Linked DNA regions of Sus scrofa. The protein of the gene in region 3 interacts with the protein of the main gene of each other region in a pairwise test. Links are inferred from orthologs where the notes say so. Each region holds a gene or a part of one and is shown on either strand. Other genes may lie near its edges.

Region 1 (2,847 bases), on a different chromosome or scaffold from region 3:
GTGGAAGCGGGAACTTGCCGGTGGCCACGCTCTCTCTCCCGGCCCTCGCCCGCCCCTCCCCCATTTCCTCTCCGGGAGGAGGGGCCACGGCGGCGTGGGGGCGGGGCAACGAGTCAGCCCCGCCCCCTGCTTCCCCTCCCCTCCACCCGCAGGATTCGAGCACGCAGCTGTCTCGGACCGGGACCCTGTCTCGAAAGAGCATCAAGGCGCCTGCCGCACCCGCCTCCGCCACCCTCGGGTGAGGCCTCGCCGCGATCCTAACCTGCCCCGCCCAAGTCCACAAACTCGACTCCCCTACCCTCGCTTCAAGCCGGGCGCCAAACTTCCTCCTGCCAGCTGCCAGCTGCCAGCTACCACCTCCTCCCCGTCCCGACCCCCTGCCTGCCAGCAGCCTTCCCTCTTGCTGACACCCTTCCCCTCCACCCCTAGGAGAGCGCCCCGGATCCCCGAGCCGGTGCAGCCCCCCGTGGTGCCCAACGGCAAGCTCTCCGCCGCCTCCTCTGCCTCCTCCCTGGCCTCGGCCGGGTGAGCCCACGGGCCCAAAAAATAGGATGGCTGGGGCGGGGGGGGGGCGGGGCGGGGCGGTGAGAGGCCACAGGAGAACAAGGGCGGGGCTTACAACTAAAGGGGCGGGGCCAGTTGATGCCGAGTTAGGGAGGGCGTCCCCCAGTCAAGCCTAAGCCCCCCCCCCTTTCTCTGGTCTTCAGCAGCGCTGAAGGGGTCGGTGGTGTCTCCGCGGTCAAGGGGCAAGCAGCACCTCCGCCCCCTCCACCTGCTGCCTCCGACGTCTTCCTGCTGCCCCCTCCACTGGAGGAACTGTCCCTGCCCCCGCCGGGTAAGGAGCTCCGCCCTCCCCTCCTAGCTCAACTTTGGGGTCGTTGCCTCACCCCAACACTTCTCCCCACCCCTTGGATCCAATTGGGCCTCTCCGTGGATGCTTTGCAACAGGCGTAAGGGGAAGGGGAAGCGAACGTAGTTGAGCGCACCTGCTTTATACCAGGCCCCCGGGGGCGAAGCGTCTCACCCACCTTCCCACTTAAACTTAACCCTAAGAGAATCTCCACACTCCCATTTAAGAGAAGCTGAGCTTGAGAGTTAAATTGACTTGCCCCAGGCTCACCAAGCTAAGTGGCAGAGTCTGCTCACCCTACAAGATTCGATTCACCGTCACTCAGTGTTTACTAAGCACCTCCTGCCTGCTAGGCATTGTGGGAGGAGCAGGATGAACGAGGGTAAGAGGCAGATTACCTAAAACGAGTAGATCCTTGGAGTTCTTTGTGGCACAGTGGAGCTTCCATATGCCACAGGCTTGGCCAAAAAATAACATGGATAAACCCTGGAGCCCTGCTCTTTGAACAGTGACGTTCAAAGAGTGGCAGGTTCCCTGTCACATTGGCAGCCTTTCTGCTTTTCCCTCTCAGCCCCAGAGCTGCCCCTCCCCCTGGACCTGCCCCCTCCTCCACCCCTGGATGTAGACGACTTGGGGCTTCCACCTCCACCCCCACCAGGCTTTGGGCCAGAAGAGCCTAGCTGGATCCCTGATGCATACTTGGAGAAAGGTACTTGACTCTTGAGACGGGAAAGGGCACCAGATCCTGGGTTCAGGGCTCCCCCCACCCAACTCTTCCATCGCAGTGTCATCCTCCCCTCCCTTCTGCAAAGGTGGTCTGCACCCCACCCCCTGCAAAGGAAGCAGCTGGCCTCATTATTAGCTCAGCTGGGGAAGAATGGGGCGGGGGGGCCTTTGGAAAAGGCATCTCCTGCCCCACTCCCTGCAGCCTTCTCCCCTAGTTGCTCCCTAAAGTCTAGCATGCAGGGCGCCAGCATCCCCATGGTTGCAGGAAGCACATCTCATGGCACCCTCCCCTCCCGCCCTGCAGTGGTAACGCTGTACCCATACACCGGCCAGAAGGACAACGAACTCTCCTTCTCTGAGGGCACCGTTATCTGCATCACCCGCCGCTACTCTGATGGCTGGTGTGAGGGCGTCAGCTCCGAGGGTTCCGGATTCTTCCCTGGGAACTATGTGGAGCCCAGCTGCTGACAGCCAGGGATCTCTGGGGTGCTGACCCAGGCACTGCCATGAGCCCCATGCCAGAGCCAGCTCTCGTGAAGCCTGGACTAGACCTGCACACCTCCTGGGGCCATGAGCTGTGACTGCCCCTTCCCCACCACCCCGCTGCAGTGGGAAGGCTCTGGGGAGAAGTACACAGAGCTCTACTGCAGACAGGAAAAGAACTGGAAGCCAAGGAGCTTGGTGATCTTATCCACGGAGGATGCTTAATGCCGTGCAGGACAGGGTCTCCAGTTGCAAGTGCCAACTTTGAATAAAACGCGTGATGAGCTCCTGGTGATTGCCCTGAAGGGCTGGGGGGACAGAGGGAAGAGGGGTTGAATGGCTCTCCAGTTCTAAGACCTCCACTAATTGCTGAGCTCCTCTGCCTGCCCCAAGCAGTGGGTTATCTCCCCCACCCCCCCGGGGGGGTGTCTCAGTGAGCCCCCTACATTAGAGGCTCTGCCACGATGGGCTGCACTGTTCTTTTGCCTGCTGCTTGGGTTATGTGTTCAGTCTTGGCGGCGCGAGAGATCTCAGTCACCTCGGCCCCTTCACCACCTCCTTTATGGCTCTGAAACACAAGAGGGTAGAAGGGCTTGGGTTTCGCTGGCTCTGCTTTAAAACATCATGGCTTTCTGGTTCATACGGGAGGAGCGGGGCACAGAGGGCCCAGCCGGCCCGACTTTGGTTAAGTCCCTGGTCTCCTGCTGCATAGACGAGGCTGGGGTGTGGGAAGACACCGACGCGGTGCTGCGAGGTCCCCTGAGGGCTGGACCGGGGCCGGACGGTGT
Region 2 (3,500 bases), on a different chromosome or scaffold from region 3:
TTCAGAGCTCCAACAAAGCCGCCAGCTGGACCCAAAACATCTCCTTTGAAGGACAACCCCTCACCTGAGCCTCAGCTGGATGACATCAAAAGAGGTAGAGAGCATTTTCTAGAGCCATGAAAGCAGCTTGCAGGAGGGTGTTGATGTTTCATGGCGATTATAAGGCTGCCAGTCGTGGTGACATGGGCATTCTCTGCCATTGTCACAGTTTCCACAGAGCTCAAAATTCTGCACTTTGAGCAAAGGGGCAGGGGCTTTACCACTTACCTCCTTTAAAACAGTGACTTGAGTTGTGGCTGTCTTTGCAGCTTTCTGTTTAGAGGCCTGGGGTTTAAACAAGCCTGACTACCATCTGAAAGTCCATATGGCGCACCTTTAAGCCTCTGGAAGAAGAAAAGTCCAAGGTGCTGGGGGTGACAACCAAGTGTGCCAGTGTCAGCATAGGGTCTAGGTTAAATCCTATGGCCGGCACTTTGTGCCAACACAAGGTGTGTAAGCATGAAAGCACCCTGTGGACCAGTGGGTCTGGACCCTGGCCTAGGAAGACTGAGAGGCCCTCCCCAGTGCAAGCCCAAGACATAGACACTCACATACCTTGGCTTTCTCCCTCATACAGTACATGGTTTTAATTGTCCAGACTCTTAGGAAATTAGGAGGGTAGGTGTCACATTACGTTTGTTTTATGAAACAAAATTAAACCCATAATAGTAGTAAACAGGAAAAGATAAAAAGTGGCCCTTGGGAAGTTTGCCTTTTCTACCTTGTGGAAATGCTCTCTTTTAGCAAACACTATCAGTGTGCGTGGTGCCAGTTGTTAGGCTCTTGATTTTTTTTTTTTTTAGGGTTGCACCTGCAGCACGTGGAGGTTCCCAGGCTAGAGGTTGAATCGGAGCCGCAGCTGCCGGCTTAAGCCACAGCCATAACAATGCAGGATCCAAGCTGCATCTGCAACCTACAATGGAACTCACAGCAATGCCAGATCCTTAACCCACTGAGCAACACCAAGGATTGAACCCTTGTCCTCACGGATGGTAGTTGGATTCGTTACTGCTGAGCCACAGCAGGAACTCCAAGCCCTGGATTTTTTTGTTCTTCATGGATATTGGAATGCTGGTGTGTAGAATTTTTCAGTTTAGTTGAACAGGAATTGGACCATGAGAGGTTAGTTGTCACCAGTTATGCTAAAGGAACCATTGTTGTTTGGCCACTGTTAGGTTTGAACCAGAAAATCTGGCATCTTCCATGATGTAGCCTATGGTGAATCCCTAATGTGCTTTCCAGCATTGAAATGTAAGGGAAAACATGTGTTTCCTTCCCTGCTTTACAGTCATAATAAGGCAGTGCTTGAAGGTGTGGCTGTCAGTTGAACATGTAGAGAGGATGGAGCAGGAATGTTCTCCTACTGTCTTTCTTCAGCTACCATGTCCCCTCCTGCAAGCCTCTGTGTACGTGTGGGATGTGAAAGCTAAGAAGGACCCCAGAGACTCTGGCCCTTCCTTTTTTTTTCTTTTTTTTAAAAATCTTTTTAGGGCTGCACGCACGGCATGTGGAAGTTCCCACCTAGGGGTCAAATTGGAGCTACAGCTGCCAGCCTACACCTCAGCCACAGCAATGTGGGATCTGAGCTGCATCTGTGACCTATACCACAGCTCACGGCAACGTTGGATCCCCAACCGACTGAGCGAGGCCAGGAATCAAGCCCACGTACTAGTGGGTTCGTTACAGCTGAGGCACTGCAGGAACTCCTGGCCCTTCCTTTTTCCAGAGCATTGGAAAATTCATTGCCTTCCACCTAGGTCTCCCTGCTGGTGAAGGTGGATCTTGATTTTTTTTTTTTTTAGGGTTGCACCTGCAGCACGTGGAGGTTCCCAGGCTAGAGGTTGAATCGGAGCCGCAGCTGCCGGCTTAAGCCACAGCCATAACAATGCAGGATCCAAGCTGCATCTGCAACCTACAATGGAACTCACAGCAATGCCAGATCCTTAACCCACTGAGCAACACCAAGGATTGAACCCTTGTCCTCACGGATGGTAGTTGGATTCGTTACTGCTGAGCCACAGCAGGAACTCCAAGCCCTGGATTTTTTTGTTCTTCATGGATATTGGAATGCTGGTGTGTAGAATTTTTCAGTTTAGTTGAACAGGAATTGGACCATGAGAGGTTAGTTGTCACCAGTTATGCTAAAGGAACCATTGTTGTTTGGCCACTGTTAGGTTTGAACCAGAAAATCTGGCATCTTCCATGATGTAGCCTATGGTGAATCCCTAATGTGCTTTCCAGCATTGAAATGTAAGGGAAAACATGTGTTTCCTTCCCTGCTTTACAGTCATAATAAGGCAGTGCTTGAAGGTGTGGCTGTCAGTTGAACATGTAGAGAGGATGGAGCAGGAATGTTCTCCTACTGTCTTTCTTCAGCTACCATGTCCCCTCCTGCAAGCCTCTGTGTACGTGTGGGATGTGAAAGCTAAGAAGGACCCCAGAGACTCTGGCCCTTCCTTTTTTTTTCTTTTTTTTAAAAATCTTTTTAGGGCTGCACGCACGGCATGTGGAAGTTCCCACCTAGGGGTCAAATTGGAGCTACAGCTGCCAGCCTACACCTCAGCCACAGCAATGTGGGATCTGAGCTGCATCTGTGACCTATACCACAGCTCACGGCAACGTTGGATCCCCAACCGACTGAGCGAGGCCAGGAATCAAGCCCACGTACTAGTGGGTTCGTTACAGCTGAGGCACTGCAGGAACTCCTGGCCCTTCCTTTTTCCAGAGCATTGGAAAATTCATTGCCTTCCACCTAGGTCTCCCTGCTGGTGAAGGTGGATACACAGCAAGGGCTCGGACCTTCCAGTTCCTGGCCAGGTATTTCTCATCCCCTGAGCATGGCATTGCTCTTCTCTTATTTGATGTTTAAATAAAGATTTAATTCACAATCTTTTTTTTTTTTTTTCAAAGTAGATAAAGGCAAAATAAACTTAATTCATTTTTAGAAGAATCATCCTGAAGCAATTTGACTTTTGGTTATTTGGATGAATTAAATGTTGCCATTGTCTCTCTGGAGACAGGTTAGATGTTTTTGTTTGTTGGTTTGGGTTTTGGTCGTTTTGTTTGTTTGTTTTTTGGCCACGCTCACGGCATGTGGAAATTTCTGGGCTAGGGATCGAACCCATGCCATAGCATTGACAATGCCGGATCCTTAACCTACTGCACCACCGGGGACTCCATTGTTTGTTTTCAAGGAATTGGGAAACAGTTCATTTTCAGTTATGCCACGTTGCTATGGGTTTGGCCAATTTACTGTTTATAGAAGGCTTGATGTGCTGACCCTTGTCCTGTCGTTTATTCCAGAGCTGAGGGCTGAGGTGGACATTATCGAGCAGATGAGCAGCAGCAGTGGGAGCAGCTCCTCGGACTCCGAGAGCTCGTCGGGAAGTGACGATGACAGCTCCAGCAGTGGCGGTGAGGACAACGGCCCCGCATCCCCTGCTTCACACCATCAGCCGTAC
Region 3 (4,212 bases):
CAATCCCAGGCATTGCTCAGTGGGTTAAGGATCCCTCGTTGCCACAAGCTGCGACATAGATCACAGATGTGGCTCTGATCTGGTGTTGACTATGGTTCTGATTGGACCCCTAGCCTGGGAACTTTCATATTCCTTAGGTTCAGCCCTAAAAAGACAGGGGAAAAAAAAATGGCAAACACTTCTGAGGTTTGAGAAAGCTCACAAGTGAGTCTCCAAGCTTCAGGGAAGTGCAGGTTCTGAGGAGCCTCAGTGCTCTGTCCAAGAACTCGGTGGCACTGTGTGACTTTGGAGGGAGGAGTCTCCAGGGAAAGGGCAGATAATAGGATTGACAAGGGGGCCCCACAGGCAGGCTCGGATCAGGGGAGACTGAACTCAGTTCCAGAAGGACCCTCTCCCAGCAAGCGTATGAAGGGGTGGCTTCCCTCTGACCAGAGGTGGCAAATGCAGGCCTGTGGGCCTCCAGGCAATTTTCTCATTTGGTGGGACCTGGACAATGATGTTCCTTCCACCTCAGTCTTTGGACCCTATAACACAGCAACAATAATCCTAACCCAACCTCACTAGCATTTCTTTTTCTTTCTTTTCTTCTTCTTTTTTTTTTTTTAGGGCCACACCTGACCCACAGCACATGGAGGTTCCCAGGCTCGGGGTTGAATCAGAGCTGCAGCTGCAGGCCTTCACCACAGCCACAGCAACCTGAGATCTAGGCCCATCTGAGACTTACACCACAGCTCACAGAAACACCAGATCTTTTTACCCACTGAGCGAGGCCAGGGATGGAACCCACATCCTCCTGGGTACTAGTTGGGTTTGTTTGGGGTGAGCCACAACAGGAACTCCCCTCACTAGCATTGTTACAGTTGTTTGGGGGGATCAGGGTGGGATGGGAAAGCAGGCAGGGATTCTGAGCAGGGCATCCTGTATCAAGCCCCTTAAGTGCCTACTGTTTGCCTCTCTCTCACCTTCTTCTAGGCCCCTCTCCGCCCAAGTCTCTTTGGTTTTCTAGAAACACGCACTGAGCTCCTACCGTGTGCAGACGCCTGGACCCACAAGGCGTCAGATGTGCGCTGCCTCTGGATTCCCATCAGGTGAAGAGGGACTTGACCCCCCATCACAGGCAAAAGCAGCAGTGATGGGGAGGGTCCGGCTCACTCTTGAACAAAGGATGAGGCCACATTCTATTCTGTCCACCTAGGCCTGTCTCTGACTCCCTCCTCCATCTCTCTGTCTCTGGGTCTGGGTCTCTGTCTCCACTGCATCCCCTGTCCCCTTCTGTACCCATCTTAATATCCCGTCCACAATCCTCCCCACTTCCTCCCTGCTCCCACCCCTCCCTCTCCCCCTCGCCGCGGAGGGCCGGCAGGGGGCGCTGCGGGACGGCCTCGGCCGCCCGGGGAGGCGGGGCGGGCGGCGGCCGCGTCGGGACCGGCCGCGATGGGACCGGAGGCGGCGCGGGCGGCGGCGGCGGCGCAGACAAAGGCGCGGGCGGTGCGGCGGGCGGCGAGGAGGGCGCGGGCCCCGGAGCCAGCGAGCGAGCGGGGCGCCCGGCTTCGGGGAGTCGGCGCCGTGGGGCCGCACCCGTCTCGCGCCCGGACATTTGCGGGGCGCCGAGCCGTCAGGGTGAGCCTGGATAGCTGAGCCTGCACTGGGTGCAGGGGGTTGGGGGCGCGAAGTTCTGGGACTGGGGACAGGGCTCGGGGGTCCTCGAAGTTCCGAATACGGAGGCTGGGGGCGGATCAGGGAGCCCCGAAGTTCCAGGGCTTGAGAGGGCACAGGAACCCCGAAGTTCCGGAGTCGGGGTCGAGGAGGGCACAGTACGCCGGGTTCCCCAAATTCCGGACCTAAGGTGGAGGGGAGGCGCGAGGGGACGCCGAAATTCCAGACCTGGGGATGGAAGGGTGGCAGGGGTCCCCGAAGTTCAAGAGCCAGGGACAGCGGGGAGGATCCCCTAAGTTCTGGACCTGTAGTTGCAGGAGGTAGATAACACGTCCCCGAAGTTCTGGATCCGGAGTCAGGGGGAGGGGGGGAGGCGTAGCAGGGATCTTGGAAATACCAAGGTCCGGGATGGCACTTCCTGCATTTGGGGCGCACATGGGGCACCCCGCTTCTGACGGGTGGGGATTCGATTCTGAGCGAGTATCTCCTCAGATCCCCTGGGCTGGGGTTCCTGGGGTGGGGCTTCGCCCCCTCACGCGATTGTGGATCCAGTACACCGGGCGGGGTCAGGCCCCCCTTTGGGAGCCCCGCTGCCGGCAGCAGCGGCGTCCGAGGCGCATGACTAGTTGGTGAGTAACTTTCCCCAACGCCTAGAATCGCTGCAGGAGCATCCGGGCAGGGAGGCCCGAGTTTCTGGGACCCCCTGCGCCCGGAACCCTGGCTCAACCCGGGACCTAGCCCCAACCCTGGCCAAAGTCGCTGCCCCTCCCCCACCCAGGGGCTCCGGTTTCAGACCCTGTGACCGGGACAGCAGCTGCCCAGGACAGAGGAGGGGGGCATTCCCCCTCTGACCATGGAGGCTGCTGGGTCGGGGCCTCTCTTCCCTTAGTTTGCCTCCCCCTTCCCCCAGGTCCTCCCCTAGGACTCCCCCCCCAACCCCAGGGTGTTCAGATTAAGTGGTGAGAGGTGATGCGGACTGAGTGGTGATTGGAGGCCACCACCTTGAACCTGTTTAGCCACATCTTGTTTTTTTAACTAGGCTGAGGGCTCCCTGGGGGCTTTGACTCTGAGGTGTGCCTCTGCCCTAAGGTGGAAGCTGAGGGGTCTCTTTGTGGGTCCAGAAGGGGACTGGTTTACCAGTAGGCACCTGCCAATGCCCCACTTTTTGATGGAGGCTCTGCTTTGGGAGTGATGGATGAATGTGTCAGGAAGTACTACACAGGAGTTGGCCTTGGCCTCCTCAGCCCAACCCAGAGATTAAGAAGACTTCACTGGGGGTCTAATAACCAAGAAGATGAGAGGTTTATGCTGGTAGGAGCCACTTGGCTCCTATCAGAGGTAGTCTCCTGCCCAGGGTGTTGCAAGGGCTTCTTCTAGATGGGGAGAGTTGGGGTCTTTTTGCTGAGAACTTTGAGCTTGAAGCTCTGTGAATAGTGAACCTGGTGGTGGGTCCTGATGTTGGACATGCTTGGCCTCCCTCAGCCTGGCCTGGGGGACACTCACAGGCCCCCCTTCTCCCCGCAAAGGCCAAACCAGCAGCTCCTACCATTCTTCTGGCTGCCCCTTGGAGCCCACAGACCAGCCTGACCAATGTCCACAGCCAGGTGAGCCTCTGCCTCTACCAGCTTGACCCTTAGTCTTCTGAGATGGGGGGCATTGCCTGGCCTCCACTGAGCACCCTCTCCCCACCAGGGAGCAGCCCATCTTCAGCACTCGGGCGCATGTGTTCCAGATCGACCCGGCCACTAAGCGGAACTGGATCCCTGCGGGCAAACATGCACTCACTGTCTCCTACTTCTACGATGCCACCCGCAATGTCTACCGAATCATCAGCCTTGGGGGTGCCAAGGTCCTGGTGGGGCCTGGGTGGGGTGCCAGGTGCCAAGGATCCCAGTGACAGGGGTGGGTTCAGTTGCTGCTTTGCTGTGTGCTTTGGGAGCACGGGGTGGTGGGGGGGTGCCCTGAGTCTTTCTGGGCCTCAATCTTCCTCTTGAAATGGCCAAAGACCTCTGAGGTGCTAATACAAAGTGATACCCCCCGGGGAAGGGGTTCATGTTCATTATTACCAGTTCCCATCAACCATGAACTTTGCTTACCCTCCCCCCCAGGCCATCATCAATAGCACTGTCACCCCCAACATGACCTTTACCAAAACCTCCCAGAAGTTCGGGCAGTGGGCAGACAGTCGCGCCAACACTGTCTATGGCCTTGGCTTTGCTTCTGAACAGCATCTGACACAGGTGGGCCTGTGGGGGTACATGGTGGGAGGAACGGGGCTAGGGATGGGTCTTCTCTTGGGTGCTGGGGGACCCTGGACAGATGGCTGGGCCTCCATTTTTCCAGCTGCAGAATGGGCATACAGAATTGGACAAGCAGAAAGAAAACAGAATTAGACAAGCCAGTGGCCCCTTCCCACTTCCCTGGTTCACATCCCAGCTCTGTTGCCTGCCTGCTCTGATTTCAGAAGCACCTGCCCCTCCCTGGATGCCTGGGATGTGCTTCCTCCCCACACACGCTAGCACTACCTTCATTATCAACTTCCTCTACCCTCAGCTG
Region 4 (2,715 bases), on a different chromosome or scaffold from region 3:
GTGTAATAATGGCATTCTCTGACATGCGAGTTTAAATAATCTATTTTTTTCCAACCAGTCCAAGAAAAGTTCACAGAGTAGATTTTATCACTGTGGAGTATACATTTTCACAATGCACAACTCTGAAACACTGGTTTTGACGAGTTTAACACCTGCAGGAAAACCAGTAGCTGATGTTCTCTGAACACAACTACAGGACTGATTTTTAATTCACATGAAGGAGTTCTGTCGAGAAAATCTGGTTCTCTCATGTGAACTATATGCCTTCAGACTAAATATCAGTTCACAATTTCTTTTGTGTTATATAGTCAATCGTTTTAATTTTCAGGGAATGTTTCAATTTTAGCTGTAATATGTACATCACTTAGCTTAAGTGATAGAGAATTAACATGTAATTTACTGACTACTAAATAATAGGTTATATTAATTCTAAGAAAATATTTAAATTTATATATGTCAAAAGTGGCTCAAAAATAACTTTAGAAGACACAGTTGCTTTTAAAAGGTCTCAGTTAATATATAATCACAAGAAAAGGGCTGACATTCACCTCCATAGACAGTTATAATGCATAAGTTTCCCTAACGCTTTGGGCTTACATGAAAATCAGCTTGAATAAAGCTGGGTGGCTTTTACAGCAGTAGTTCTGTGAACACTCTTTCATCTGTTGCAACAGTTGAGCTCTGCATGTAAATATCTGAATATGAATAGCTCAGAATCAAATTGAAAAACAAACACATCTTTATTGTCTACAAATATATATAAAAAAAAATCTCCCCCAAAAGATGCTATTCTCTCATTTCCCCATCTTCTTCTTCTTCTTCAACACCCCTGATATAAAGGACATTATTACACCTGTAAACAGAAAAACAGTCCATTTTGTTGTTCCAACCAGAAACCACATAAGATCTGAATTATAACTATTATTCTGTTTTTTTATTACAAAAATGCAAATGCTAAAATTACAATATATCATCTCTTTTTAAAATATTTACATTTGATTTGTTTTTTTTTTTTAAAAAAGCATATATATTTTTACCATGAGGCTGTTATAAAATGGTATCTTTACAATCTTCCCAAGGGAATAATGACTAGAATTTGGAGGTATGAAACTAGTTCTAGAAAATAAGTATAATACATATCTCTAACAGCAGCCAGATTCATCTAAAATTCAAAACCAAGTTTCAACTACTGAAACCACTCAAAAAGGTACAGTTAAGAGCTAGAAAGTTTAGTATCACACTAGAAAAATCTTAAGAGTGAACAGCTCCAAAATATGTCAGTCTGCTTTGGCAAGTTTAACAATTTCAAGACCCTTGAAGTCTGGTTGTAGAATATTATGTTGATTTAATAATGATTTTTTTAAAAGTAATTGAGACTTGGGCACTAATTAATTTACTTGAGCAGGTATTTCTAATGGTCACCAGTAACTCCTTATATATACGACTACTGTTTTCTTACCTTATTAAAACTTCACCCAGATGTCCAGACAATGCTCCATCTATGTATTCTTCTGTGTTTGCAAGCTTTGAATAAAAAGAAAATATATTAGTATAATTATACAGGAGGAAAACACCTAGTATCGGTGAGAGACCTTACTAACTAAGATCTTTTGGTACCAACAACTCACATTTATCTATAACAATTAGAAGATTAGCCTTCTACTACTGCAGTACTTTTTGGTTTCAGATAAACATTCAGTAATGTTAACACTGATGGGTGTACAACTAATATAATAAAGTTCATTTCAACACAATTTTTAAAATCTCTCAGTTACGTACTATTTCTTTCTATTAAACATTAAAATGTGTCAAGGAAGAAGCCTTCAATTTATAAGCCATGAATAATTCAGTTCTAAAGAACCAGACATTAACTTTTCTCAGAGTAAGAGCATATATATCATTTGAGGAACCCAATGGGCACAAAATCTATGGCTAAAATACCAAATACTTTTATATTAGTCAACAACCAAACCAAAGAACTGAATAAGAATTTTAAATTATGTGCTAATAAACAGGAAAAAAAAAAGTTCTTAAGAGGAGGTTAAATTAAGAGTGACCTTTATAGTTATTTCATTAATTTCTATTATTTCTAATTGTACATCAAAATGTCTAGCTTTCCTTCCATGTAAAGGAATTTAAACTTGTAATTTAAAAAAATTACATTCAGTGCTACTGGGACTCACAAAAAAAATGAACAGGAGAGAAATGAAAGACAGAAGTTTCCTTCATTGACTAGGCAAGTGGGCAAAGGGAAAGAAAAATAGGGCTTAGAGAGGATGTAAGATAAGGCATTTAAAACATGAATTAATAACGCTACTGGATATTATTCCTTCTATAAAAAGTAACCTTTTACACTCAGAGGAATGGTTTTGTCTGAAATTGCTGTCAACAATTAATTAGTTTTGTATGTAATAGCTCTCAGAAATTATGTTTTAACATCAACTAACTTTTAAAAAAGTGATTATTACTGGCAGATATTCACCAATATTTAAATGGTTTCTAAATTATATGATAATGCTCCAGGAGTTCCCGTCGTGGCGCAGTGGTTAACGAATCCGACTAGGAACCATGAGGTTGCGGGTTCGATCCCTGCCCTTGCTCAGTGGGTTAAGGATCCGGCGTTGCCGTGAGCTGTGGTGTAGGTTGCAGACGCGGCTCGGATCCCCCGTTGCTGTGGCTCTGGCGTAGGCCGGTGGCTGTGGCTCCGATTCGACC
Region 5 (3,948 bases), on a different chromosome or scaffold from region 3:
AGCTTACCCAAAGATGGGTTCATTCAGGGACAAAAGTTTGTCATTGAGAAGTTTACCCATGTTACTAAATCTCTTTCCCAGAAGAATTATTGTATCTGTTAAGAGCATGTCAAGGTGCAAAGGTGCACATGGGGACTGGCCTACAAGCAGACAGCCTAAAGTCAAGGATGAAGGGCCTCTTCAAGCTAGGACATCCATTCTGAAGTGCATGTATTCCCACCTGTCCTGCTTTTATTCGAGGGATATACAGCCTTGGTATTTTAACATGAATAAACATGAAAACCATTTTAATGGTTTAACATTTTAACCATGTAATATGATTACATGGTTATTATATCGATCACAATTTGTTGTTCTTTTCAAACACATAGATTCTAACATCTGTGTTGTCTTAGTGTGAGCTTGTGCTTGGATCCTGGAGGTGGCCGCTTTCAGAGCTGGTCAGTAACAGCTCCGGCAATGGCGTAGAACCTCAGGTTTCTCCAACTGTTTGCTGCTGGTGCTACCATATTTGAGGATGTGGGTGGCTGATTAGCTACATCCCTACTAGGAGTGGAACTACTCAGAGAATCCTGCTGGTTCTTGGTGGGGGGACTTGCCTTCTTTCCATAAGACGAGCACTGCTGTCCCCACACAGTGGGCAGAGAGAAAGATGCAGGTGGACCTTGGGTCTTTGTGGGTGCCACTCCATTTTAAAATTCATTTTTTTAAGATGAATTTCAATTTAAGGTGTTTCCAAGCCGGACTCTCTGAGGACAGAGAAGGCCGGGAAAAGTCTTTCCCTCTCTTGGGGTTGCGGGGGGTCGGGTACGGGGGTGGTGATGGCGGTGGTGAAGGGACCCCGACAGCGGGAAGCTGTGGAGTCTTCGGAGGAAAGGGCCCTGGAGCTGGACACCCCTTCCAGTTCCCACCTCTTTGCAAACCCAGGGGAGGGGAAGGAGCGACACAGGAGCCCCAGCTTCCAATCGCCCCATTGCTGCCACGCTCCGTCGAGGCCCTAGGCCGTGGGGCGCAGAGCCTCAGCTCCAGGCAGCGCGGGCGCGGCGCACAGAGAGGAGGCGAAGGGCCGGCAGCGGCCTCGCGGCGCGTCCACATGCGGCGGGGCCGCAGGGGGGGCGGGGGGGACGGGGAGCCGAGGGGGAGGGTTTACATCCCAGCGAAGTTCCCGGATGGTCGCAGCCTCCCGGCGCTGAGCGCTTTTCCTGCCCGGCCGGCTCAGCCCTACGAACCGGGGAGAAGTTTCCCTAAGAAAAATGCCCGGCGCGCCGCAGGGCCCTGGAGCTGCCCGGAGCCGTTGCACGGTAAGGGACGCGCCGCTGCCGCTGCCAAGGGCGCGACCGGGTTCCGGGGACTCAGGGCAGCGCCCGTGGAGACCCTCTAGGCCCCCAGGGACCCCGAGGAGGGCTGGGCTGGGCATCTCGGCTCGGCGCCGGGTGGGCGCGGGCGGGGGCCGCGGGGACGTCGGGGCTGCGTCCGCTGCGGGCGGGGGCGGGCGCGCGGTCTCGGGAGGGGCGGACTCGGGCCCCGCGGCTTGCGCGTCCAGTACCCGCGGGCAGAGAAGGAAGGGGCGGCGGACCGTGAGGGTCCGGACGCGGGCGCCTTCTGGGCTGGGCGCGCCGCTGGGCTCCGCAGATCTCCGGCCACCCGGGGGCTCGGCCCGGCTCCCGGCTTAGGTACCCACGGCAGGGGCTTCGCTGCGATGCGCTGGGGCCGCGTCTACCCCACCCATGACAGGCGAATGGAGACTTTAGGGCACCCCGAGGCCAGTTTCTGCCAGGGAGCTGCCTCTGCTTCTTCTCAGGGGAGTTGTGCCCATCCCGCAACGCGGCTTCCCAGACTCGCCTCCCGCCGGGTGCCCCAGGCTGAGCCTCGCGCTGCGGGCAGTGTAGACGCTTGCGTTAGATGTGTGCGGTGACCTTAAAGGACGTCCAGTCCCCGTCAGCTCTTTTCCCCCCAGGGCCTCTCCGGAACTTTCGGAACGGCTTCACTTCAGTCTCACTCCCTCTACTTTTTCTGTTAACATATTTTTTTTTTCTTCTTTTTTTAAAGTACTGTTAGAGAAAGTTGCAAGCGTAAGAGAAACCAGCTGACCCAATCCGGGCGACCCAAATCTTCAACTCGTGGTTAGACTTTGGACTCCTGGAGCTTAACAAAGGGTGTGTCTGTGAGGAACCGAGCCTGGCCAGGTCCTCTGGTCCTGCTTAATCCCAGAGGAATACATATTCCTTCCTGGGCCACGGGCTGCTGACTTTATCTCAGTTCTCTGGGAAGCCTCTCAAGTTGTCAGCAGTGACTGGGTGGACTTGGTCCCATTTTGTGAAAATTGTGTGACACCGTTGTCCCCTGAATAGTCACTGGATTCCACCCCCAATCACTGGCCGAGTGTAGTCCCAGACTTTAGGCGGTGCAGCCGCGGAGCCGCTGGACCGAATCCCACCCTGGGTGGGTTTTCTTTTGCCAGTTTCCCAAGGCAATTCCAAAACAATACTGTAGCTTCATTTTGAGTCGTTGGCATATTTTTCCTCCTCAGAAAAAGCCTTTTTCTGTTAACGGTTAAAATAACTCCAAAGAGTTTTCATTTTCAGTTTTTATGAAATACCCTTGGACTTCTGGAGGTGAGAAAATCAGCATAGGCCATTGGCATTTGCATCTTAATTCCTCTTTACAGTGCTCACAAGACTGCTTTCTCCTCTTGTGTATCTTGACTCATCTGTCATCTTCACAGGGCTGAGTCTCAGGGACCAAATCCCCAGCTACCTGTAGCAGCCCATTACCCGTTGAGTGGAATTGTGCAGACTGGACTTTGCAGTGGTTATTAGACTATTCTAGTAACCTCATCATCTTTTTTGGCTCCCTGAGCAGCACAAAAACTCTTAGGTTTTTGTGATGTAGAGCAAAAAGATTTGTAAGCAAGGTAAGATCAGATGTGGGTTCATTTAGAGACAGTGAGATTATTTCCAGCTGTAGAGATTCATGCCTTTCATTTGTTTGTTCATTTCACCAATTAAGTGTCACTTTCTGGTCCTTTAGGCATATCATGTGTATTGTGCAACTTGAGCCTCACTTATCCAAGAAATGGAGTTGATAACCTTTGCCCTTTCTCCATCTCATCCTGTGAGGATCAAGTGGGATAATGGTGTGTGAAGCAGCAAAAAGCAGCACAGCACAAGGCATTAGAGGGGCACCATGCAGTATGTAGCACCATGACATGAGAGCAATAAAGAGCTAAAGGAGGGGAGTTCCCGTCTCGGCTCTGCAGGAACAAATCCAACTAGTAACCACAAGGTTGCAGGTTCGAGCCCTGGCCTTGCTCAGTGGGTTAAGGATCCTGTGTTGCCGTGAGCTATGGTGTAGGTTGCAGATGGGGCTCTGATCTTGTGTGGCTGTGGCATAGGCCAGAGGCTACAGCTCTGATTCTACTCCTAGCCTGGGATATGCCGTGGGTGTGGCCGTAAAAAGCAAAAGCAAAAAAAAAAAAAAAAAAAAAAAAGAAGCTAAAGGAGTGGGACAGGGCTGGTGGAGAGAAAGTGGTATCCCTTTACCTGTTAAACTTACTGTCTCAGTTGCTTTGCTCAGGGATGAGCCTGCTTTTGAGGGGAGTATTCATCCCTGGCTCTATGTCACAGTCTTGGTTATTTCAGGGTGTTCTTAACTATGGATAGGACTTCTACAGTGCACATCAGGAGAACAGAAGGCAAAGTACCTTTTTGGTTGTTGCTGTAGCCCCTTCACTTTAAGCATCTGATATTTAGGACTCTGCCTCCCAGAGCCATCGTCTTCCTGAAGCCTGAGGTCTACCAAATTCCTAATGATTTTCATACAGAGGTCTCTGCCACTGTGACCAACATTCCACAGTGATGCCACAGTGATGCCACAGTGCTGGAAGGTTTGGTAGGCTTATGCCTTGTGAATAACCAGGACCCACATATGTGAATCAGGTCACAGTTG
Region 6 (3,370 bases), on a different chromosome or scaffold from region 3:
CCTACATGCCCTAAGTGCAGTAAGTCATGATAGAACTTTCATCATTTGATGTTTCAAAATGTAGACACTACCATTCTCCAGTGTTGTTTTTCTTCATTTTTCTTTCTTTTTTTCTTGACTGCACTGGTGGCATGTGGAAGTTCCCAGGCCAGGGATCAAACCTGTGCCATAGCAGTGATCCAGCCACTGCAGTGACAGCACCAGATCCTTAACCTGCTGACCCACCTGGGAACACCTTTCCCGTGTTTTTTAATGAACAGAGTAATATTATCGGTCTTTTTCCAAAAGTATGGAATAAAAATTAGTTTTTTATTATAAAAATTAGAATGGAAGAACTAACGGTTGGACAGCAAGACCCTGGATTTAATTTCAACATCTGGTTTTCAACATTATAGGAAGGCAATAGTGGTTCTGTGCCATTTTTATTTCTTCAGATTTTTCCTCTCCTAGGATACTCTCATATTTGTTATTATTTGAAGCTCTGGTCATGGCTCTGAATCATTTTTGCTCTTTTTCCTCCCCTAACTCTGCTTCAAAACTTCTGTAACTCATTTGCTGTGAAGTCTAGAATCTCTTCTGCAAGGGAGCTTCCTGGGTGGGCCGGACTGCCATGGACCGGAAGGATTGCTAGGGAGTCTTTACATTGCTAAGAAGTCTTGCTAATTCGCTATATAAGCTGAGTGGACTGTCAGAGAATTTTCCTTTTCCCTGATGAATTTAAGAGGTTTGTATTTTGACCTGACTCAGTGATTCTGTTTGGGTCGATTACTTTGTTACTGTTTTTTTCTCCATATATGAACGTTGCACCTAATTTTCCCTGTAATCGGTTAAAAAAGCTCAGCTGTTGATGTTTCAACTCTTTCTGCCAATAACTGCTGGCAGTGATTTAATGCAGCTGGAGAATAAACTGACAATCATTATAGCCTGCAAAGTGTGGAATATTTTCATTGCACTGTTGTGGTGGACTGATAATGCTCGGCGGATGAGAATTGGGGGGGAAGCCTGTGTTACGATAAGAGAAGCAGCAGTGTAAAAGTGGGTGAGTTCTGGGGCAGCTTAGGGCCGCTTATCCAGTCAACGCTTCTCCGGGGCTTGTTTTCATAGGAGTTCACTTTAAGTGCTAAAGGGAAATGCTTTCATCTGAGCGGGATTTTTGTGCTTCGTTCAGATTGTTTCCCCATCTGATAACAACCCTCGCTGAGTAACAGCACAGATGTGGCTCATCTGCGGAAGATGGAGGCAGAGGAGAAAAGCGCTGGGCCGGGGCGCGGAGCGGCAGGTGGTCAGTGATGCTTGCACGCCCGCCCGCTGGGTCTTCTCTTCCCTCCTATCCCACCCAAGCCGCGGCGGGCTGCCCTCCGCAGGGCGATGCCCTCACCTTTCCCTCGGCGCCGGTGCCTGCCTGGCGACTTCTCCCCGTCGGTGGACTCGCGGCCCTGCAGCAGCCCCTGCGAGCTCCCGGGGCCGACAGGGAAGCTCTTCCTGGGGGGCACCCCACCCCGGGCCCTGCGCCTTCCTCGCCGGCTGGCCTGGTGCTCAATAGACTGGGAACAGGTGTGCCTGCTGCAGCGGCTGGGAGCCGGGGGCTTCGGCTCGGTATACAAGGCCACCTACCACGGCGTGCCTGTGGCCATCAAACAGGTGAGCAGATGCACCAAGAACCGGCTGGCATCCCAGCGCAGTTTCTGGGCCGAGCTCAACATCGCTCGGCTCCGCCACGCCAATATCGTGCGCGTGGTGGCCGCCAGCACGCGCACACCCGCGGCCTTTGACAGCCTGGGCAGCATCATCATGGAGTTCGGCGGCAACGTCACCTTACACCAGGTCATCTACGGCGCTACGGGCTGTCCAGAGGAGGATGGGCCTCCCTGCAGTGCTGGGGAGCAACTGAACTTGGAGAAGTGTCTCAAGTATTCCCTGGATGTGGTCAGTGGCCTGCTTTTCCTGCACTCCCAAGGCATTGTGCACTTGGACCTGAAGCCAGCGAACATTCTGATCAGTGAGCAGGACGTCTGCAAAATCAGCGACTTTGGTTGCTCCGAGAGGCTGGAAGATCTGCGCTTCCGGCCTCGGCACCACCTGGGCGGCACGTACACCCACCGAGCCCCCGAGCTCCTCAAAGGCGAGCCCGTCACCCCAAAAGCGGACATCTACTCCTTTGCCATCACCCTCTGGCAGATGACCACTAGGCAGGTGCCTTACTCAGGGGAGCGTCAGCACGTGCTCTACGCGGTGGTGGCCTACAATCTCCGTCCGTCCCTCTCGGCGGCGGTCTTCACCGAGTCCGTCCCTGGGAAGAAACTGGAGGACATCATCCAGTGCGGCTGGACGGCCCCTGCGCAGCAGCGGCCCAGCGCACAACTCCTCCTGCTGGACCTTCGCGCTCTACAAGCTGAACTGGGCTGACCCGAAACGTGTGGCCGGATAAGCATTTGTCTTTGTTGCTGTTCATTTTTAACAAGAGAAGATGTAGGCAAAAAAAAAAAAACAAAAACAAAAACAAAAAACATAGAGGTAGGATGGATTTTTAGAAAATAAAGTTACCAAAAACTCCTTTCACCCCAAATGCTTTTCCTAAGACAAACAGCAGAACTAGAAATCTAGTGGTGTCTCTCCTTCTCCCTTTACAGAGCTCTGTGTTTGCTTCAGAGCTACTGTGCTTCCTTGCAGTTCCATAGTACTGCACTTAACTCAAATTTGTTATTGGTCTGTTAACAGTTTACTTGCTCCCGTACAAATAAGCTAAAAAACAAAGATTAATTTTTCCCTCCTGCTCTTCCCCCAAAACTACTTGTTTCTAATGATCTTCACACATACAGTTCGCAAGTTGAGGTAAGCTTGTTTTTAAAAGGAATGATACTTTAAATGATTTCTTGTGATTGTGATATTTTAAAAACTTCTGCGTGCCATGAGTAGAAATTTTGCTAAAACTTCTAAACTGGGGCCCTTTTCCTGTTGTTTGGACTCAAAAGTAGACGACAAAACAAAGATGATGTGATGGGAGAAAATACGATAGCCCTGCAGCAGAGCAGAATTTAACATTTAGCTGGAGGAGAACAGAGAAGTGGAAGCAGATCGCCCAGTCTAGACATGGAGGGCATGGCTACGCATAGATTTTTGACAAATGAGGTGACTGGATCTTGTCATGAGGACAAAACTGACTTCTATTTAGCAACAGAGTTTCAGCAAGGGCTTGATGTAGAAGCTGTGCTTGGACTGTTAAGAAGGGAGAAGCAGAAAACTTTGAAGGGGGTTAAGATGCGCAGAAACGTTTTGAGATTTGTTGGTTTGGTTTAGCTTACTTTTAGGATAAAGGAAGTGAGTTTATCTGTGACAGAATAAAGAGGGGACAAAGAGAACTGATGAAGTT
Region 7 (3,500 bases), on a different chromosome or scaffold from region 3:
GAAACCTGGATGTATCTCTGTATATTTTACATTATCTCCTTAGATTCAAACCCAGTTGGGCTGAATGTCTGAGGTTGAGCTAAATTACACTCGGAATGTAATTTAAAACACAACTGCTCTCAATAATTTCTGATTCAGCACTAATTATGGCAACGTAGGACTTAATTAGACAGTAAAATGGCAGGAGACCTAGAATGAGTCACACTAGAGATAATCCTCTCCTGGGCAAATTCTTATTATATAAAATTATAAGCCAATTCCTTCCTGCAGTTCATTTCATATTTTCTAATTAAAAGTTTTAGAAATTGACTACATTTACCCCCCCTCCTTTTTTTTTTCCTGGAAAGGCTATAAAAACCGAAATAGAAGACCACTTTCAATAGCCAACTTTCCAACAATCCCACTACTTTGATTTTATTCCTTGTAGCTTCTGCACACAAAAAAATAAAACCATTGCCTAAAATGTAATTCAGCTATTATTTGGCAAAGAGTTAAAAACACCCTGGATTGTTACAGTACATGTCTAAAACGTTTGAGTCCAGAAACAGCATCATCCATTTTTCTTGAGGGTGTAATTAAATGTTCTTCAAATTAAATGTGCTTCAGTTTGCCTGGGACATCTGTGACCCTAGTTAAAATGATTTCTTACACTAATTCTTGGTCTTTTTCTTCCTTTGTATTTTTTGTGACCTGATCACCTTCTTGCTTAGCAAATGGAAATTCTAGCAGTAAGTGACCTGTCTTAATTTATAGACTACTTATCCGTGTCAGACAAACTGGTTTTCATTTGCCATTTGTGACCTAGCAATGTTTTGTCATGGACTGCTTTAAAAGTAGCGTGTGCTTCAGTTTCGCATAGCCCTGATTCATGAAACGTTTCGGTCCTCCAAAGATAATGAGGTCTTACAATTAACACGTACAACTAGCAGTTCCCTTTTTGCACATCTCTAACTCATCTCCTTTCAGATTTCTTAATTTCAAAAATCCAAGTGCGTGTGTTAATTTCATTATCTTGCTCCAATGAGATTACAAAGTGGCTTTTTGAGCAAAAGGAATTCATTTTAAAGACAAAAGTGCTCTTCCTTTTTAGGCGAGAGGTTATCTAGCGTTTTACTTTTTGCATTATCAAGCAATTGTTGATAAATGCAGCTGAGGTGTACATCTCAGTGTGGCAAGAGTGTATGCATTTGTAAATTCTTTCCATTATGAATTTAAAGTTTTAAGTTCTCGTGACTCCTTTTTGAAGCATTCTGTTTACTGCCTGCTGAAAAATTCTCTAATATGAAAATGTGCTTCACACTAAAAATGATTTTAATAATCTTTAAATGTTTATTTTAATCCCAGTCTTCAGAGCACCTTTTCACCTGACTTTCATCAACTTCACACCATATTAACTTGCTTACTGCAGAACCAATGCCAGGACAAAATTTAACATAATTATTTACTTGTAAATTCTTATTGGAAATATGTTGTCTAGTCATGTATGGAAAATAACACCTACATTTAACTCAACGTTATTTATTTCTAGGAACTGGAGCTCTGCCGAAGGTTATACAAATTGCATTTTCAATTGCTGCTTCTGTTTCAAGCCTACTGTAAACTTATCAACCAAGTAAACACAATAAAAAACGAAGCAGAGGTAAATATTCGGTTGCACCAGGTACTACTAGCTGAGTCTAGAAAATTAAAATATATACATACTTATTTCTTTGTAGGAGTGCTTGGATCAAAAGTCGTTTATGGTGAATCTTTTTTTTTTTTTCTTCTTCCACTTAACCCTCATTGGTTTTTGAAATGGTGTGCCATTTCAGGACCTTGTAGTAAATCTGATAGCAGATATCCAGCAGTCTTAAAAGGTTCAAGCCCTTAAAGGTCACAGCAGCAGCGATAGATCATCTGTAATCAAAAATCGAGTAAAGCACAACCCTTCAATAAAGACGAAATTGTATTATGAAACCCCTTTAGAGGGCCACATAGTATTTCTATAGTTCTAGTAACACAAGAATAAACAGGTCAAGAACCCTTCAAGTGTTAGAAATCATGTTACAAGTAGGGACTTTAGTCTTTTTCCCACTTGTCAACCACTGGTACCATCACTGAGTTGATCATTTTCTAAAATGGCTAAATTTACTTAAAAAAAAATACATATACTGGTTTATATAAAATACCCTGGGTAAATAATCTTTTATAATACAAAGACTTCTCTTACTGTCAAAAATTTTTTTCATGATCCTTCCACAATTCTAAGCCTACTGTTACAAAAAAAAAAAGGAAATTATTTTTTACTATCCAAGATGAAGTGCATGTGTGTATATATATATATATCACATATTAACACCAATATAAACATTGGTTGAGACCTGTTTTACCTATTACCATTAACATTCATTATATTTAAGACAATCTGTTGTTTTATCACACGTATTTAAAGACGACTATCTAGTGGCTGAAATTATTCCAACTGAATAGAGAACTTGAAATATTAACTGCCCATAAAGACTGTGTTTAACAACTAAAAATCATTTTTAAATGAAACTACCACCACCATCAGCTGTAGCCTCACAGCCGCGTCCATGCTCTTTTTGTCTCTGAATGTACACATCGATCTTTTCAGGTCTATTTCTGTGTTTTAGGTCTTCAACATGTCAGAGGAACTTGCCCAACTGGAAAGTATCCTCAAGGAAGCCGAGTCTGCCTCCGAAAATGAAGAAATTGACATTTCCAAAGCTGCACAAACTACTATAGAAACTGCCATTCATTCTTTAATTGAAACTTTGAAAAATAAGGAATTTGTATCAGCTGTGGCACAAGTCAAAGCTTTCAGGTAAAACGTGAAGGCATTTATAGGAGATGTCTTTATGCTGAATGGGGAGTTTACAATGAATGGATTTGGGTTTTCAATTTGATGTTCCAATAGTCTGTGGAAGGAAAACATGACTTTATTTTGTACAGTTATCAATGAAGTAACACCAATTTTAGAGTTTGTTCACACTCGGTGATACCTTCAATAATATTTGCCCAAATGTTAAAACAGATCCTCAGTGATTGATAAGGAAATTTTGTTGTTTTTATACGTATTCACGTAAAGGTAGTTAATCTTCAGTAGTAATTGCTTTGCATCTCAGGACTTAAAAAACACTGTGTATTTTTCAGATCTCTCTGGCCCAATGACATCTTTGGCAGTTGTGAAGATGACCCTGTCCAGACACTGTTACACATCTATTTTCATCACCAGACGCTGGGCCAGACAGGCAGCTTTGCGGTCATAGGCTCTGACCTGGACATGTCAGAAGCCAACTACAAATTGATGGAACTCAATCTAGAAATCAGAGAGTCTCTCCGCATGGTGCAATCATACCAACTCCTAGCACAGGGCAAACCAATCGGAAGTTTGGTGAGCACTGGATTCTGAGAAATTTCAGGAATTTAGGGAAGACTAAACCGAAAATGATTAAGAATATTAAGAAGCACCTTTTATGGACCCTTGCAACTCACTGATG

The links.
Region 1: the proteins of HOMER3 (region 3) and ABI gene family member 3 interact in binary tests that used the Homo sapiens proteins (3 or more experiments, as listed by UniProt). The two-hybrid records come from large-scale screens. The link is inferred for Sus scrofa from reciprocal best matches to the Homo sapiens genes HOMER3 and ABI3.
Region 2: the proteins of HOMER3 (region 3) and EAF1 interact in binary tests that used the Homo sapiens proteins (3 or more experiments, as listed by UniProt). The two-hybrid records come from large-scale screens. The link is inferred for Sus scrofa from reciprocal best matches to the Homo sapiens genes HOMER3 and EAF1.
Region 4: the proteins of HOMER3 (region 3) and SNRPF interact in binary tests that used the Homo sapiens proteins (3 or more experiments, as listed by UniProt). The two-hybrid records come from large-scale screens. The link is inferred for Sus scrofa from reciprocal best matches to the Homo sapiens genes HOMER3 and SNRPF.
Region 5: the proteins of HOMER3 (region 3) and WIPF1 interact in binary tests that used the Homo sapiens proteins (3 or more experiments, as listed by UniProt). The two-hybrid records come from large-scale screens. The link is inferred for Sus scrofa from reciprocal best matches to the Homo sapiens genes HOMER3 and WIPF1.
Region 6: the proteins of HOMER3 (region 3) and MOS interact in binary tests that used the Homo sapiens proteins (3 or more experiments, as listed by UniProt). The two-hybrid records come from large-scale screens. The link is inferred for Sus scrofa from reciprocal best matches to the Homo sapiens genes HOMER3 and MOS.
Region 7: the proteins of HOMER3 (region 3) and FRYL interact in binary tests that used the Homo sapiens proteins (3 or more experiments, as listed by UniProt). The two-hybrid records come from large-scale screens. The link is inferred for Sus scrofa from reciprocal best matches to the Homo sapiens genes HOMER3 and FRYL.

Annotation. Positions count from the first base shown.
Region 1 is NC_010454.4:25,438,963-25,441,809, forward strand, and holds the end of ABI gene family member 3, read left to right. Parts: intron 1-152; coding exon 153-238; intron 239-429; coding exon 430-525; intron 526-707; coding exon 708-835; intron 836-1,421; coding exon 1,422-1,559; intron 1,560-1,880; coding exon 1,881-2,044; 3' UTR 2,045-2,347; downstream 2,348-2,847. UniProt on the Homo sapiens protein: May inhibit tumor metastasis. In vitro, reduces cell motility.
Region 2 is NC_010455.5:2,661,329-2,664,828, forward strand, and holds part of EAF1 (ELL-associated factor 1), read left to right. Parts: coding exon 1-94; intron 95-3,342; coding exon 3,343-3,500. UniProt on the Homo sapiens protein: Acts as a transcriptional transactivator of ELL and ELL2 elongation activities.
Region 3 is NC_010444.4:58,912,537-58,916,748, forward strand, and holds the start of HOMER3 (homer protein homolog 3), read left to right. Parts: upstream 1-1,412; 5' UTR 1,413-1,620; intron 1,621-2,148; exon of another isoform or gene 2,149-2,285; intron 2,286-3,138; exon of another isoform or gene 3,139-3,182; 5' UTR 3,183-3,246; coding exon 3,247-3,260; intron 3,261-3,348; coding exon 3,349-3,505; exon of another isoform or gene 3,506-3,558; intron 3,559-3,764; coding exon 3,765-3,896; intron 3,897-4,212. UniProt on the Homo sapiens protein: Postsynaptic density scaffolding protein. Binds and cross-links cytoplasmic regions of GRM1, GRM5, ITPR1, DNM3, RYR1, RYR2, SHANK1 and SHANK3.
Region 4 is NC_010447.5:87,614,434-87,617,148, forward strand, and holds the end of SNRPF (small nuclear ribonucleoprotein F), read right to left. Parts: intron 1,525-2,715; coding exon 1,460-1,524; intron 854-1,459; coding exon 787-853; 3' UTR 501-786; downstream 1-500. UniProt on the Homo sapiens protein: Plays a role in pre-mRNA splicing as a core component of the spliceosomal U1, U2, U4 and U5 small nuclear ribonucleoproteins (snRNPs), the building blocks of the spliceosome.
Region 5 is NC_010457.5:80,643,663-80,647,610, reverse strand, and holds the start of WIPF1 (WAS/WASL-interacting protein family member 1), read left to right. Parts: upstream 1-1,148; 5' UTR 1,149-1,301; intron 1,302-3,948. UniProt on the Homo sapiens protein: Plays a role in the reorganization of the actin cytoskeleton. Contributes with NCK1 and GRB2 in the recruitment and activation of WASL.
Region 6 is NC_010446.5:75,738,207-75,741,576, forward strand, and holds MOS (proto-oncogene serine/threonine-protein kinase mos), read left to right. Parts: upstream 1-1,195; 5' UTR 1,196-1,368; coding exon 1,369-2,406; 3' UTR 2,407-2,870; downstream 2,871-3,370.
Region 7 is NC_010450.4:38,397,599-38,401,098, reverse strand, and holds part of FRYL (protein furry homolog-like), read left to right. Parts: intron 1-710; coding exon 711-728; intron 729-1,528; coding exon 1,529-1,639; intron 1,640-2,633; coding exon 2,634-2,824; intron 2,825-3,153; coding exon 3,154-3,412; 3' UTR 3,413-3,500. UniProt on the Homo sapiens protein: Plays a key role in maintaining the integrity of polarized cell extensions during morphogenesis, regulates the actin cytoskeleton and plays a key role in patterning sensory neuron dendritic fields by promoting avoidance between homologous dendrites as well as by limiting dendritic branching.